Nothobranchius furzeri: one gene and its partner. The protein of the gene in region 1 interacts with the protein of each later gene in a biochemical or structural test. Links are inferred from orthologs where the notes say so. Each region holds a gene or a part of one and is shown on either strand. Other genes may lie near its edges.

Region 1 (7,112 bases):
ACTCCCTGTAGTTCAATCCTCCAGAGAGATCTGTAGGGGTGGACAATTTGGGGGAAGATGGGGATCTTTCTGAGGTAAAGAAGGAGGGAGAGGCGGGGGAGGACGGAGATGACTGGGCGTCAGATGCAGAGAGTCTGGGGTAGTTGGTTGGAATGGCTCGTTTGTCTTTTGAACCTAAAAAAAACAAACATTAAAATTTCAGAAAATTATCCAGCTAACCTCTAATCTGCTGCAGGAATTCAAATAAAATGCCAAAGCTAAAGAAAAAAAAACTCCCTTAAAGGGAATGCTTTGCACATTCAACAAGAATCAGCATTAATTGAAAATGTCATGCAACAGAAGCACCAAGCAGACTGAAAATCCTCTTTGCAATAACCATCTAAATGCTGGAGAGATATGCATCAGCCGGGAGGGTGCCGGGGCTCAACCCGCACTGACGTTTCAATTTTCCTATGAGCTGATAAGGGCTGCACAGCCATGCTTAGGAGCAGAAATGTGCAGCAGGAAACCCCAGAAGGGGGTGAGGGCTGGGTAGGAGAAGTAAAAGACAAGAAGTAGACTTAGTGGTGCAGAAATTAGGTTTCTGGTTTCCTGGAGTCAGAAATTAAATCTCATTTTGCTCTTTGGAATTGAAGGGTTGATGCTGATGAAAGCACAGGGACGGTTGTGCTGACCACCAAGCAGCATGAGGGTGCCGAGGCCTCCAATCAACCCTCTGGAGATCAGACTGAGGACTGCACCATTATGGGCCATTCCCATCTGTACCGGGTCGGCCCGGGCCGGGTAGCGTAGGTTGTTTACATATCTGGGTGGCCTGGTATTTTTCCGGGCCAACCAAGGCTCATTCTCAGCCCTCTTCTCGAGGGGGTCTGCTTCAGGCCGACCAGGGCCAACACACCCACTGCTGACAGCAAATCCACACCTTCCATTAGAGCAAGCCTCTGATTGGTGGGTAGAATCAGCCCACATGGGCTTAAGACAAGGATGTGTGGAATCAACCGGGCCAGGCTGGGGCCGACTGGGGCTACCCGGCCCGGGCCGACACGGTACAGATGGGAATGGCCCATTAGTCACACAAAACTCTATGAGAGGGATAAACTAATTCAACAAGAGGTCAAAGGAAAAAACAAGGAGGAGTCCAAGATTTACCAAGGTTATTAGGACAGACCGAGAAAAAGCAGTGAGGCCTTATTGATGCTCTGGTTTCATGTAGAAGCACAGGGTGGAAGAAGAGTTCAGACCTATAGGAGGAGGAGGAGATAAAAAGGTAGAAAACAGACAGCCGTGCCAGAGCAGAAAAACAGAGAAAGCAAAGGTGATAAACAGCAGCAGAGGTCATGAGGAGACACCAACGAAAAGGTCAAAGAGAAGCTTTGCAACCCATGCATGAGAACCAAGAAGCATCCTGCTGCCAAGCATCTTCTGTACTCAAGTGGATGGCGTGTTGAGCTAAACACAGGCGATCCTTCAGCCGTGACTCACTGTGATCCGGAACCAGGCCCTGACCAGGTCGGAGCAGCAGGTGAACCTTAGTGCCTCCTGCTTGGATCAGCTCAATCGCCCGAGTGTGGGTGATGCCCTGCGTGGCCTCGCCGTTGATCTCTACGATCTGATCTCCAACCTGCAATTCAGATTTAGAGTTTAAATTCACCAATCACAAAAAAACAACACATGCGGCAGTATCAGGCATCCATCTCAACTCTCTCACTCTCCCTTCTCACATACTTCTTATTCCACACTGCCCCCTAGTGGTAGACACAAGTAACTTCTAAAGCTGGTTTAGCAAGTAACACAAAATAAACACGTCTTCGTTCATCTTATGCATTCCATCCGTCCATTTTCATCCGCTTATGCGGGGTTGGGTTGAGGGGGTGGTGGCCTAGACAGAGGCCCAGACATCCCTCTCCCCAGCCACTTGGGCCAGCTCCTCCAGAGGGATCCAAAAGCATTCCCTGGCCAGCCGCGAAATAGTCTCTCCAGGGTGTCCTGGGTCTTCCTTTAGGTCTTCTACCAGTTGGATGTGCCCAGAAAACCTCACCAGGGAGGTGTCCAGAAGGCATCTTAACTAGATGCTTGATGTGGAGGAGCAGCGGGTCTACTCCGAGCCCCTCCTGGATGACCGAGCTTTTCACCCTATCTCTAAAGCCGGGCGTACACTGTGTGACATTTTCACTCGTAGCACTCAGCTTCAGCTCAAACTGTACGACTTCCTCGCAGGGCAGATCTCACGAGCCATGCGCTCACACTGCACGACCCAGTTCTCGGATGCGATCTGACTGCTCACACTGTACGTCTGGTAGCAACACGTCGGCCCTAAAAATGTGCTAAAAATAGCAGTTTTTACACAACACGTCAGACTTTTTTGTCTTGTTTTGCCTGTTGTCCTTCGGGAGTGCTGCAGGAGGACACACAGGGATTTATGGGGGTTGGATGAGGAAAACGAAATAAAGAAAGTAAATCAGTGTTTTGTGATCAGTTTAATTTGACATGAACACGACAAACACGCTCTCTCGACAATCTTTGTGAGTAAAAAAACGTGTAGAAACAAAAACGAACAACGTGTGTTATTAGGGAAATAGCGAGCGAGCGGCGTTGATGCATGATTGCGCATGCGCCGTGAGCGGTTCTGATACTTTTTGGGTCGCAGCGCCGCTTCAACAGTGCGATACCCTCACGAGGGACGAGCAAAATATTAAACACGCCAGAAGTCCGTGCGAGCTCACGATTGCTGATCGGTAGCTGGTCACGTGGTGTTAATCGCCTCTCGTAACCCCCTGTACACTACACGACCGCTCGGCGCAAAACTCGCCCCGATGTCGTGGATTCTCGCACGACTGGAAAATCGGCTCAAAAAAGTGAAAAAGTCGCACAGTGTACGCCCGGCTTAAGGGAGAGCCCATCCACTCTGCGGAGAAAACTAATTTTGGATCGCTTGTATCCGCAATCCCGTTATTTCGGTCACTACCCAAAGCTCATGACCACAGGTGAGGGTAGGAACGTAGATCGATCGGTAAATCGAAAGCTTCGCCTTCTGGCTCAGCTCTCTCTTCACCACGACAGACCGGTACAACGCCCGCATCAATGCAGACGCAGCACCAATCTACCTGTCGATCTCGTACTCCATCTTTCCCTCGCTCATGAACACGACCGAGATGCTTAAACTCCTCCACTCGGGACCTCATCCCTCACCCGGAGAAGACAGTCTTATGTACTAAATTATCTTTATTCAAGTGGTGTCTATGGAGAACCGTGACTTCCTGTTCAGGCATGGGCAAGTACAATCCACCCATTCATCCCCATATTCTGACGTGTTCTGTTCTATCGTTACCAGTTTTACCACAGCATTTTGGTTTATAGGGGTTTGCATAGATTTCTGATTGAGCTATAATTAAAAGAGCAGATAAATGAACCCACGTGTATCCTCCCATCTTTGAGCGCAGGCCCCTCCTCAGCGAGCCGCAGGATGTACAGGCCCATGTTGTACTCTTTTCCTCCTCTCAGGCTGAAGCCGAAACCCCGCTGGCTGCGCTCGAGCTCCACCACGAGGCAGCCCTGTTAGTCCCAGAGAGAAACAAAATACGTCTTTACGACTGGGGCACTTCATAAAAAGTCCACCGCAAACTCAAGACAATGCAGCAAAAATCAGTTTCACCCTTAACGTGACTTAAAACACATCACGGTTTGCTGACATCATTAAAATACAGCTAAAGCCTTAAACACCAGACGGTGTCTTTGGTTTTACCTGCTTGGGGCCTGATGCGATGAGTGCTCCCCGTTCATTTGGCTGGACCGAGTTCTTCAGATCAGAGTCACCATTCCTGTCACAGATTTTAAAAAAAGGAGTCAACCACACTGGGTTGTTCTTAAAGCATAAAACCGTAACACTGAAAACTCTGATCCACGCTTTGCCACGCCTTGATTCCAGCAGCACAAGCCTCTCTCTCTCTCTCTCTGATGATTTCATTATTTAACCCGAGCAGAGAAACGTAAATCCTTCCAAGAGCCGTGCTGCAGCCAAGTTTCAGTGACGGATAACAGCGGCACGCTTTAACGCTTCGCAGAGCTCATTACAATGCCTCTGTGGGAACTTAGCCGTGCTGACACACCATCTGAAGAGCTGAACATCCTTAGCGGCTCCAGCCCTGATGAGTGTTTGTGCACTTCACGCTGCCAAGCTGTCAGCCGCAGCTCGCATCTGAGCCTGGGTCGACCCGAGGCATGTGCTGCTGATTAAACCAGGAGGCAGAGTGCTGCTGAGTAATGGAGAGACGTCAACAATGAAGAGAGAAGGTGGTTAAAGGTGGCTCCAGTAGAAGAGTAGACACAGGTCACTCTCCCTGGAAATAGGGTCAAAAGAAAAGGATGGTCCTTCATTAATTCCACTTCTGTCTCTCTGTCCAAGTCGATGGGGTGGTGTGTGTGTGTGTGTGAAGGGGGTTAGATAACAAGGAGCACATACTCCATTAATGACAATCGGCCACATGGCAGCAAAGCACCAGAGGGGCTTTGGAACGATTGGGGCTGAAACTCTGGTTGCATCAAACCTGGGATCAGAAGCTTGTGTGAAGTGAAAGATGGAACGATCCCCTTTAGAGCCGATGTAACAGAGGGCTTTGGCTGTTTGCACACACCAGGATCGGTGTGAAGTAGACTAAGCCGGGCGTACACTGTGCAACTTTTTCACTCGTAGCACTCAGCTTCAGCTCAAACTGTACGACTTCCTCGCAGGGCAGATCTCACGAGTCATGCGCTCACACTGCACGACCCAGTTCTCGGATGCGACCTGACTGCTCACACTGCACGTCTGGTAGCAACACGTCGGCCCTAAAAATATGCTAAAAATAGCAGTTTTTACTCAACACGTCAGACTTTTTTGTCTTGTCTTGCCTGTTGTCCTTTGGGAGTGCTGCAGGAGGACTCACAGGGATTTATGGGGGTTGGATGAGGAAAACGAAATAAAGAAAGTAAATCTGTGTTTTGTGATCAGCTTAATTTGACATGAACACGACAAACACGCTTTCTTGACAATCTTTGTGAGTAAAAAAACGTGTAGAAACAAAAACGAACAGCGTGTGTTATTAGGGAAATAGCGGGCGAGCGGTGTTGATGCAGGATTGCGCATGCGCCGTGAGCGGTTCTGATACATTTTGGGTCGCAGCTGCTCGCAGCGCCGCTTCAACAGTGCGATACCCTCACGAGGGACGAGCAAAATATCAAACACACCAGAAGTCCGTGTGACCTCACGACTGCTGGTCGGTAGCTGGTCACGTGGTGTTAATCGCCTCTCGTAACCCCCTGTACACTACACGACGCTCAGCGCAAAACTCGCCCTGATCTCGTGGATTCTCGCACGAGTGGAAAATCGGCTCAAAAAAGTGAAAAAGTCGCACAGTGTACGCCCGGCTTAAGGGAGACTACTAGATCTCAACCAGCAACACAGGATGCCTGGTCCTAAATGTTCCGCCTCTTTAGTTCTCCAGGCTTGTGTTGTGCTTGTATTCTGAATCTTCATCATTGGAAGGAAGAACCTCCTCTTGAGGCTCTCCACCCAAATGAGTGGACTAAACTGCGGAGGCTCTGGACTGTACCGGTTCACGTCCAACACAAGGCCCTAGCCCACATCCAACTCACCTTACTGAACATGATCTGAACAAATATTTGGCTTGTGAGCAGAAAACACCCAACAAATCCCACAACGCACTCAAGCTACACACTGAAAACAAGTTGGACATCTTAACACGTGGAACCATTTAAATAACACGCACAAGAAGCACTTCATCGTCTGAACTCCACGTGTACGTTTGTGTACCTGTCTTGGTAACTGGGAGGCTGTTGGCCCACAGCTCTGTGCTGGGCCGAAGGGCTCTGCTTCACAGAGTTTGTTCCAGAAGGAGGAGCTCCGTCTGTGAGGACACACCGACCTTTTCTGTTATCTGGTTCTCCTCGGTGATCAGGGCGGTAGAAATTGAGACTCGAGCCAACTTACCGTCTTCAGGTACGACAGTCAGGGTGACCGTGTTCCCGGCGTCCTTGATGAGCTGAACGATGTCGTTGTGCGACATCTCCATGATGGACTGACCGTTCACCGCAGAGATACGGTCGCCCACTTTCACCTGACCACTCTGATCCGTGGGGCTGCCTTCAATTATACGACCGATTTTATGAGGTATGACTGGAAGAAAGGAAAAGAGCAACGATGATCATGTTCAGCAGAAACAACAAGCAACGAAAAAAGACACCTGTACAAATGTGGGGAAATGTTCTAGATTCTTATGTGATTATGTTGAATTTAGGTGTAATTCTAATGAAAAAGTATTCAAAAATAGCCACACGCTCCACAGCTTTGAGCCGAGAAGGGAACGCAGTGATGACGAATCAGTTTCTGACACCCCAAGAAAAAACAATAAGCTCAGTCAATATAAATGTTCTGGTTTAAAAAATGCTCCCAAGCTTTTTGCATCCATCAGAATGCTCGATTAGATTCTAATCCCTGAAAACACAGATCGTCCCTTTCGCCAGCAGCATCTCTGCTGCGCGCTGATAGAATCGAGCTATGAAAACAAGCCCTCCCCATGGCTTAATTACATTATTCCCGTTAAGACAGATGAGCTCATTTGGGTTAAAGTGATCAGAAAATGCCAGCTGTGTCTAACTCAGACAGAGGTCTTAATCCGGTTCATACTGGCGCAGATGGAAACAGCGACGCTGCTATTAAACTAATATGTAACAAATACATGCAGTTTGGCTTCATTCTGTTTGCATTTTCATTACGTTCAAAAGTCACCCGTGAAGTGATTTTACGTGATGAAAGATCTTTTCTGATCTGATGCTAACCTCCGGGTGGGGGCTTGTTCTTCGATGTGAGAATGACAAAGCCAAAGCCCTCGTTGTCTTTGCGCTGCAGTGTGACGTCGAAGCTCTCCGGTCTGGAGGGCTGAGCGGGGTGCGTGCTGGGAGGCGTGGAGGGAGAGCTGCTGACCAGAGCCGACGCCACCTGTTGGGGCTTCTGGCCGCTCTCCTCCTCTCCACTGCCATCTGAGAGACAAGCATGCACAATCAGAAAAGACTGTATCAAAGCTCTAACCAGCAAAACATACATTATGAAAATATTC
Region 2 (7,551 bases), on another chromosome or scaffold:
TGGGAAAACAAGCAGCGCCGTTTTACTGTGAAAAAAATCCTCCTGGGCGCTTTCCGTAGCACTCCTTTAACCATTCCTTCATTAGACTTTCCAGCATCCATCCTTTCTGGTTGACTAAAGCCACACCTCATTATAAGCCGCATGGTTGAAAGCGTGGAAAAAAGTAGCGACGTATAGTCCGGAAAATACGGTATTGTTTTCTGTGGTTGGCCCTATAGTTGTCAGTGATAGTATCTCCCTCTCCGTTGCAGCTGTGCAAGCATCACCACAATGAAACATTGCCTTTTTGATGCATGTGGGATACCGTAGTTGCAATACCTCATCTGAACTAAGTGGTGCTAAAGAGTCTAATTTTTTCCCACATTGAGCCTTTAATTTTATAAAATACCAATGAAAATGAACCAAACATTTTAAACTCATTTGTGTATTTTGTCAGCAGCTGATTGGTCTTGGATCATAAGAGAAACACAGCCGTTTGGTGGTTACTCATGTTCTTTACTCATGTTTCTTATGTCAATTTTCTAAAAGAAAATGACAAAAGCTTGATCCCCAGTTTTTTGCTCTTTGTGTTCTTTGAAATAACCAATTCACCACGTCACAAACCAGAGGTGTGAACCTATTAAAAAAATACAGACAGACATTGTTTAGTTGCTTTACAAGTTGATATGTTCTGATCCCTGCGATGGACTGGCTCTCTGTCCAGGGTGTACCCCGCCTGATTGCCCATTGACCACTGGAGATAGGCACCAGCCCCCCCCCCCCCCCCCCCCCAACCCTACATGGACAAGCGGGTTCAGACAATGGATGGATGGATGTTCTGATCCACAGGTTCAGGTTTGCCATGTATGAAGAATAATCTCCACATTTTAGACTTGTACAGTGAACAGGGAGGGACAAATATTACTGGAGTAAAAGTATTTTAAATGAAAGTTAGCAATGCAGGCCTCAAGTGCATGGGGGGCTAATGTTATTCTCATATTTCAAGAATTACAATATTATGTCTTAGTGAACATCAGTCTACATGATATTAAAATATTAAAATTGAAATTTATTTTTAAACAAAAAAAGTAAAATTTGGTGGTTTTAAACTGCTGTAAAATTGAAGTTTACTTTTCAAAGAATATAAGTAAATAACATAAAATGATGCTTTATTTTATACTCCTAATCTCTTTGATAATCTTTTAAACATAAAATTATTTGAATTGTTTGAGAACAGGAATTAATTCTGTGCAAATTAAGAACATTGATAAATGATCTCTGGTTAAATTTAGTCACACATTCAAAGGAAATTGGATCCCTTAAGGGATCTCTTAAATAAACTTTGTACTTTGTCCAGCACTTGTCTGAGCTTGCATTAGACTCTAAATTCTTAGATTCAGATCACCACATTTTTACATTTTAACGTTTAAATTTCACTTTGTATATTTATGTTTGATTCTAAGCATTTAGATTTTATTTTACACTCTTAGACCTGATTCAAAATATTTAGATTTAACTTTAATAGTTGCAGCCAAGTGTAAAATTTAGCTGTTATGTTACGTGTTATTTTCACAATCGGTGCCCCATACCAGTGTGCTTCCATTAAAACTTTGATTTGTGATGTTGTGGTATGGGAACAAAGTGAGTCAATAAACATCTATACATCTCATATCCCTGTTTAAAATTCATGTTATCCATATCTTTCCTTGGAGGCCAATCAGATTCCAGCTGTTCTCAGCCAGCAGGGAAGCATTTAACAGGCAGGCTATTAACAAATCCTGGGTTATTTTTAAACTTTGCATCTAGTTCAAAAAAGTATTATGTAAAAAATAAGAAATTACCATGGAGCAAAAGCCTGTGGATCAGGTTCTAATATAAAACCACTCACAGGAAATACAGCTCGAACAGAACTAAGCAATCAAAGGTTATTTTTATTTTCACAGACGTCAAAGCACCACCTTAAAACAGCTGGTAAAGCCGGAGACAGACAGAGGCTCGAGATTCCTCATTCCACACCACAAAATGCGCAATTATTGACCCCTCACTTGGTTATGTTGTAAAAGAACGCACCGAATAAATAAAAACACTTATTTTACATTATGTTTAATATAAACAAGTACCTGCCGTATAAATTGCACCGGCCTGTGAGGTAATTAAGAGCTTATTGGCATCCACGTTATGCGCGTTTTGGAGCGCCTCAGAGATCATTTTAGGAACACATTGTTTCCCATTATGAACAAAGGTATCAGCAAAACGTGATTCTTTTAATATTATAGCCACCTGGTCGACAGATCTGGAGTAAAAAGTCGCATCTGCAGTAATAAATCACCTTAAGGCTCGTGCGCTTTTGTGGAAAAAGCGCTTTGTGTTCTGTGAGCGCAAACCTTCGATTTTGGATTTATCGCATCGATGAATTAAGACCAAGATCTTTAACTGATTGTACAGACAACTCCACTTACAGCGAATGGTTTGGATTTTACGCGCATCCTTTCCTGTTTGTATATATTTTTAACTCTCCATCTGGATGGTTTTATTTATTTTCTTCACAGTTGTGATTCTGAGTGGGACAGTTTCGCTGTCCCCAACAGGCTGCTGTCGCTGTTGTCCAGGACGGCGCAGTCCGACCACATCTCCAAGGTCCCGGGCTCCAGCGCGGACACGAACCCGCCGGAACAGCGGGACAGGTCGCAGGAGCTGATGTGCAGCCTGCGGTCGGCTTGTCTCGGGCAGCACAGCAGCCTCTTGAAAGCCTTCCTGAAGTCCGGACTCCGGCAGTAGATGATTGGGTTAAAGGCCGAGTTCACGTACCCCAACCAGTTCAGGAACACGAAGAGGTTCTTGTCCACCACCTCTGCGCTGAACACCCGCACCACGTTGACTATGAAGAAGGGCAGCCAGCACAGAGTGAAAGTCCCCATGATGATGCCCAGCGTCTTGAGCGCCTTCTGCTCCCTCAGCGCCAGGATCTTGGACGGCCTCTTCTTGCACTTGGAGGTGAGTCCAGTCAGGGTGTTGTGAAACCTGCCCTCGCACTTGTCGATCTTCCTCAGCTGCTGCTTGGCCTCTCTGTACACCCGTGCGTAAACGAAGATCATGACCAGGAGAGGAATGTAAAAAGATATGATGGATGAGGAGATGGCGTACGCCCGGTTGGTGACAAAGTCGCAGCACTCCGGGTTCTCGTAGCAGGCTGTGTCCACGTTGTCGCGGGACCAGTGCATCAGGATGGGCAGGAAGGAGACCAGCGCAGAGATGGCCCACACCACGCACACCACCGCCTTTGCGCGAGCCTTGGTTAACAAGCTCTGGTAGCGGAAAGGTGAGGTGATGGCCACATACCTGTCTATGGCGATGACGCACAGGGTCTCGATGCTGGCGGTGACGCACAGCACGTCCACGGAGATCCAGAACTCACAGAAAAAGGAGCCGTAGAGCCAGGAGCCGCGCACCTCAAGCGCGGCGCCAAATGGCACCACCAGCAGCCCCATGATGAGGTCCGCGCTCGCCAGCGACACGATGAACACGTTGGTGAGCGTCTGCAGCCTCTGCGTCTTGGCTATGGCCACGATCACGAGGATATTCCCGAACACGATGGACACGACGATCAGACCCATCACCAGGCTCATCCCCGCCATCCACTGCTCCGACGCAGGTGAAGCGGAGCCCGGCGCCTCGCTCCCCGTGCCATTGTGGAGGTTCACCGGTGAGAACGCACCACCGTTCCCCATGACGGGCTGCTGCTCTGTGAGCTGGACCAGCTCGGTCTCATCCAGGCAGCGCTGTGCGGCGTTCACGCAGCTCTCATCCCATCGCGCGCCGACTCCACGGAGTGTTTTAGCTTCTCTCTCTGGATCTGCGCTCGAAACCGCGCCGGCCTGGACAGCGAGGTAGGCGGTGACATCACCGCTCATCACGGCCAATCAGAAAGTCCAGGGGACCCGCGGTCCCAGCGGTGAGGATCAGGAAACAAGCTGCACCTGAGAAAAGCAGACTTCCAGTCTTATTTTGCATGCACTGGACAGTTACTGAACATTCGCGATATTCTGATGAGAAATTGACCCATGAATTTCTTATCCTGCAAAACCCCACACTGTGGGAAAACGGTGCACCAAATATGGGAAACATCACAATGGTCCAGAGGGAATTCCCTCCTGTCACCACTTGCTATCACGTCCAGAACTTGTTTTTCTCCTTATATTTTTATCTCTGAGAATACATTCCTTAAACATGAGACTTGACCCAACACAGACCTGCAGACTGGCCTCACAGCTGCATAAAGAAGCGTTTGGCTCACAACCAGATTTTATTAAATGCATCAATGTAAAGACTCACCACTGTCCCACTTGAGTTTGTTTTAAATAAACTGGTCACTCTGCACCTGCTCAGCTGTTTAATTAATGTTAATGAGAGAATATGTGAACTACCTGGATCCGTCCTGTCTTGTATCATTGCTGCAGCGTGGTACAATGGTGTGGGGGAGATGTTCTTGTCCCACTCTGGACCCCCAGTGCCACCTGAGCCTGGTTTAAACACCACAGACTACCATGTCCATCCATGACCACGTGGACCCTAACCCATGCTACACTTTCAGCAGGATAAAGCACCATGTCACGAAGATCATCTGGTTTCATGACCATGAGTTCACTGGACTCCAACCATGTCCACAGTCAGATCTCAGTCCAGAACATGTGGGATGTGGTGGAACAGGAGACTCCCATCATGCAGCTGTGTGATGCTGTCATGTCAATATGGACCATAACCTTTGAGCTCTGAGTGATTGTACACCTTAGTCCACATCAGATGTGTAAATTTCCACCGGCCTCATGACAAACAGTCTGCACAAAAATGGAAAACAACAAAACTTTGTTTGTTTTTATGTGGACGATTTACGCTCCCGCCCATGAACCCAGCGACCCCACAGCTGAGGCTGCAACACAACCCGACCCAACACAACGAAGAGAAGTCAACATTCCCCCTTGACCTTTATGAGCAGCAGGATGCTTTTATTTTTTTCTTTTTTGACCTTGAAGTGTGGAGGCTGAAGCAAAGCCTTTTGATTATGATGTTTTTCCCTGCTGGCTTTTTGGTGGAACAATTAAGCGTCACACATTTGGAACCAGTAAAGGGTTAAGTCATTTCCTGTTCTCAGTGTTTTCCCTTCATTTGCACCATTAGAGGCAGAAACTTCTGATGAAGCAGAGAAAATAACCCAAGAACGGTACTCATGCATCACCGAGAGGAATATTAAATATTTCTCTTTGTGATGAAGTTGTTATGCATGGGTAACACCAACTTCTGATTCTGGAAAAACATTTAAACACACAGTTTTTACATACATGTGAGCTGAGCACAGAATAAATTAAGCTTAGAATGAAGTAATAACAGCTCTATTCTTGACTGTTTGAAATATTATGTAGTCAGCTGAAAGATTTTTAAGTGAAACACCCTAAAAATATTTCAATCTTATGTTTTGTTTTCTCAAATGATTCTGGTGTTTGTGACGGAGTCAGAGAAAAGGGCTGAAAGTTCCTTCAACATATTGTTAATTTTTCCTTGAATAAATGCAAAGAGCCACATTTTACGTTTATTATGTTAATGTATTTAGCAGACGCTTTTATCCAAAGCGACTTACAGTTTATAACCTATAGGGCATGTTGTGATCTGTGGGGGAAACCGGACCCGGAGGAAACCCACGCATGCATGGGGAGAACACACAACTCCACGCAGAAAGGCCGCTATGACTATACAGGTGATTTTATCTTCTTATAAACATGTAAGACTCTTATTATTTTGATTTGTTAAATTTAAGTATTTATTTATTTATTTTTTTTTACAAAAAGCAGAATCAACGGATGTAACACTAAAGCATGCAAACACTAATAGACTTCCTAAAATGAGTGGATAACCAGAATTGTTTTATTACCCAGCTGTAACTTCCAAATCGCAGCAAAGTTCCCATGTTTCCAAAATCCTGCAGAATCCCAATCGTTCCTTTTGAGTATCGGAGTGTGAGAATAGCCATGAAACATCTTCCATTGTATGAGACTCCCTCTTGGTGTCTCTGCATTTTCTACGATCTGCAGAAAACAGCCATTTTCCACCACTCAGGTCTGCAGCAACAGCCACTTACACAGGATGGCACACACTCACACAACTGTTTGTTCTAAAACTGTGGAGCCTCACATCTGGGTGGTTCCAGATGTGAGTTGTCTCACTGAGTCAGGATCCTGGAGCAGTAATCGCTTCAGCTTCAGACCCACAAAATAGCAATTTTCAAGCCATGTGACCCCAAATATCTCTGAATTAAGAATAAAGCCACGCCTAAACAGTGAACTGTTCTTTGGGAGTCTACCTGATCCCTGCTGGCCGAAGCTGGGAAAACACAAAAATGGCTACAACTCAGTCATTCTTTTCATTTATTGAGCCAGCATTCATTATAATAACAGCTAAAAGTAATTGGCATGATGCACTCTGAACACTATCTATGCATCCAACTGTTGGCGGGAGCCCTGCCTGATTAAAGATGGCCCCACAGCTAATCAACAATAGTAAACAACAACAACAACATGCCAGTTTTATAGATAATGGGCTAAAGAGTGGTTCCCACCACATACACAGCTTTAACTTTGTCATTGACAGTTGGAGCTATTGTACTAAGTTTTCTCAAGATTTGACACAAAATAAATATCTTCATCATTTTTGAACGGAAAACTATTCTGGTTTAGTTTTAAAGTGTTTTGCAGACATTCTTGCTCAGTGTTAACGTTTTTGGTTAGAAACTGGGCTGCTATGCTATCTCATGCAAAAGGAACCTGCTCAACCACTTTAAATAGACTTTGAAGGTTTTGAGTCATATTTCTGATTTTTGATTGTGATTTCTCCTATGACTGGCTAACAGCAATGCAACTCTACCACTGACTCAGTTTGCTCTGCGGTGTTGATGTTTTATCTCCACAAATAACACAAGCCTGGAGGAGTTCTGCTGTGTGGTGATGTTGCTAATGCTAATGTTAGCTTCTACTAGCTGAGACGTTCTCTGTTGTGTCCTGGACGCTAAACCAACAACAACCTTCACCGTTGTGAGTCAAGATGGGTGAGTTCATGGTTGTTGTGTGACAGTGTGACGTAGATCTGTCAGGCTTTTCAAATCCTATTTTCTATCAGAAGCTAATGCAGCAGATAGGTGTAGGAGACTATTTTCATATTCAGTCTGCATGAAAAACTCAGAGTGACTGATTATGATTAGGACTAATAATTATAAAATGTTCTTTTCAGTATTCCACACCTTAAAAATCACCATTTTATTGTGAATGTTGTAATCTATTTATAGATTTTCATGTTTATTTAGTCAAATTTCTGTTATTTTACATTTTGTTTTAAGCTACAGCCCCTTCTCCTTCTTCCTCAAAAGGCCTTGCCTTCTTCCAGGCCACAGTTGTAAATAAGACTGTTTTTGCCTTGTTGGATCAACACATATTTTTAGAAACTATTTTCTCAGTAAAACTTGCCCAGCATCACAGTCTATTCAGTAAAGTTAACTATGCAACAGGAGGAGTATTCTGCTCTGACCTA

The links.
Region 2: the proteins of magi3a (region 1) and adrb1 interact in a test that uses a peptide from one of them, tested with the Homo sapiens proteins (2 studies listed by IntAct, with this or other methods). The link is inferred for Nothobranchius furzeri from reciprocal best matches to the Homo sapiens genes MAGI3 and ADRB1.

The regions. Positions count from the first base shown.
Region 1 is NC_091755.1:38,352,501-38,359,612, forward strand, and holds part of magi3a (membrane-associated guanylate kinase, WW and PDZ domain-containing protein 3a), read right to left. Parts: intron 7,036-7,112; coding exon 6,835-7,035; intron 6,173-6,834; coding exon 5,987-6,172; intron 5,904-5,986; coding exon 5,810-5,903; intron 3,819-5,809; coding exon 3,743-3,818; intron 3,553-3,742; coding exon 3,415-3,552; intron 1,622-3,414; coding exon 1,483-1,621; intron 1,242-1,482; coding exon of another isoform or gene 1,189-1,241; exon of another isoform or gene 1,150-1,188; intron 175-1,149; coding exon 1-174.
Region 2 is NC_091756.1:38,263,909-38,271,459, forward strand, and holds adrb1 (beta-1 adrenergic receptor), read right to left. Parts: upstream 4,599-7,551; 5' UTR 3,891-4,598; coding exon 2,523-3,890; 3' UTR 2,067-2,522; downstream 1-2,066. UniProt on the Homo sapiens protein: Beta-adrenergic receptors mediate the catecholamine-induced activation of adenylate cyclase through the action of G proteins. This receptor binds epinephrine and norepinephrine with approximately equal affinity.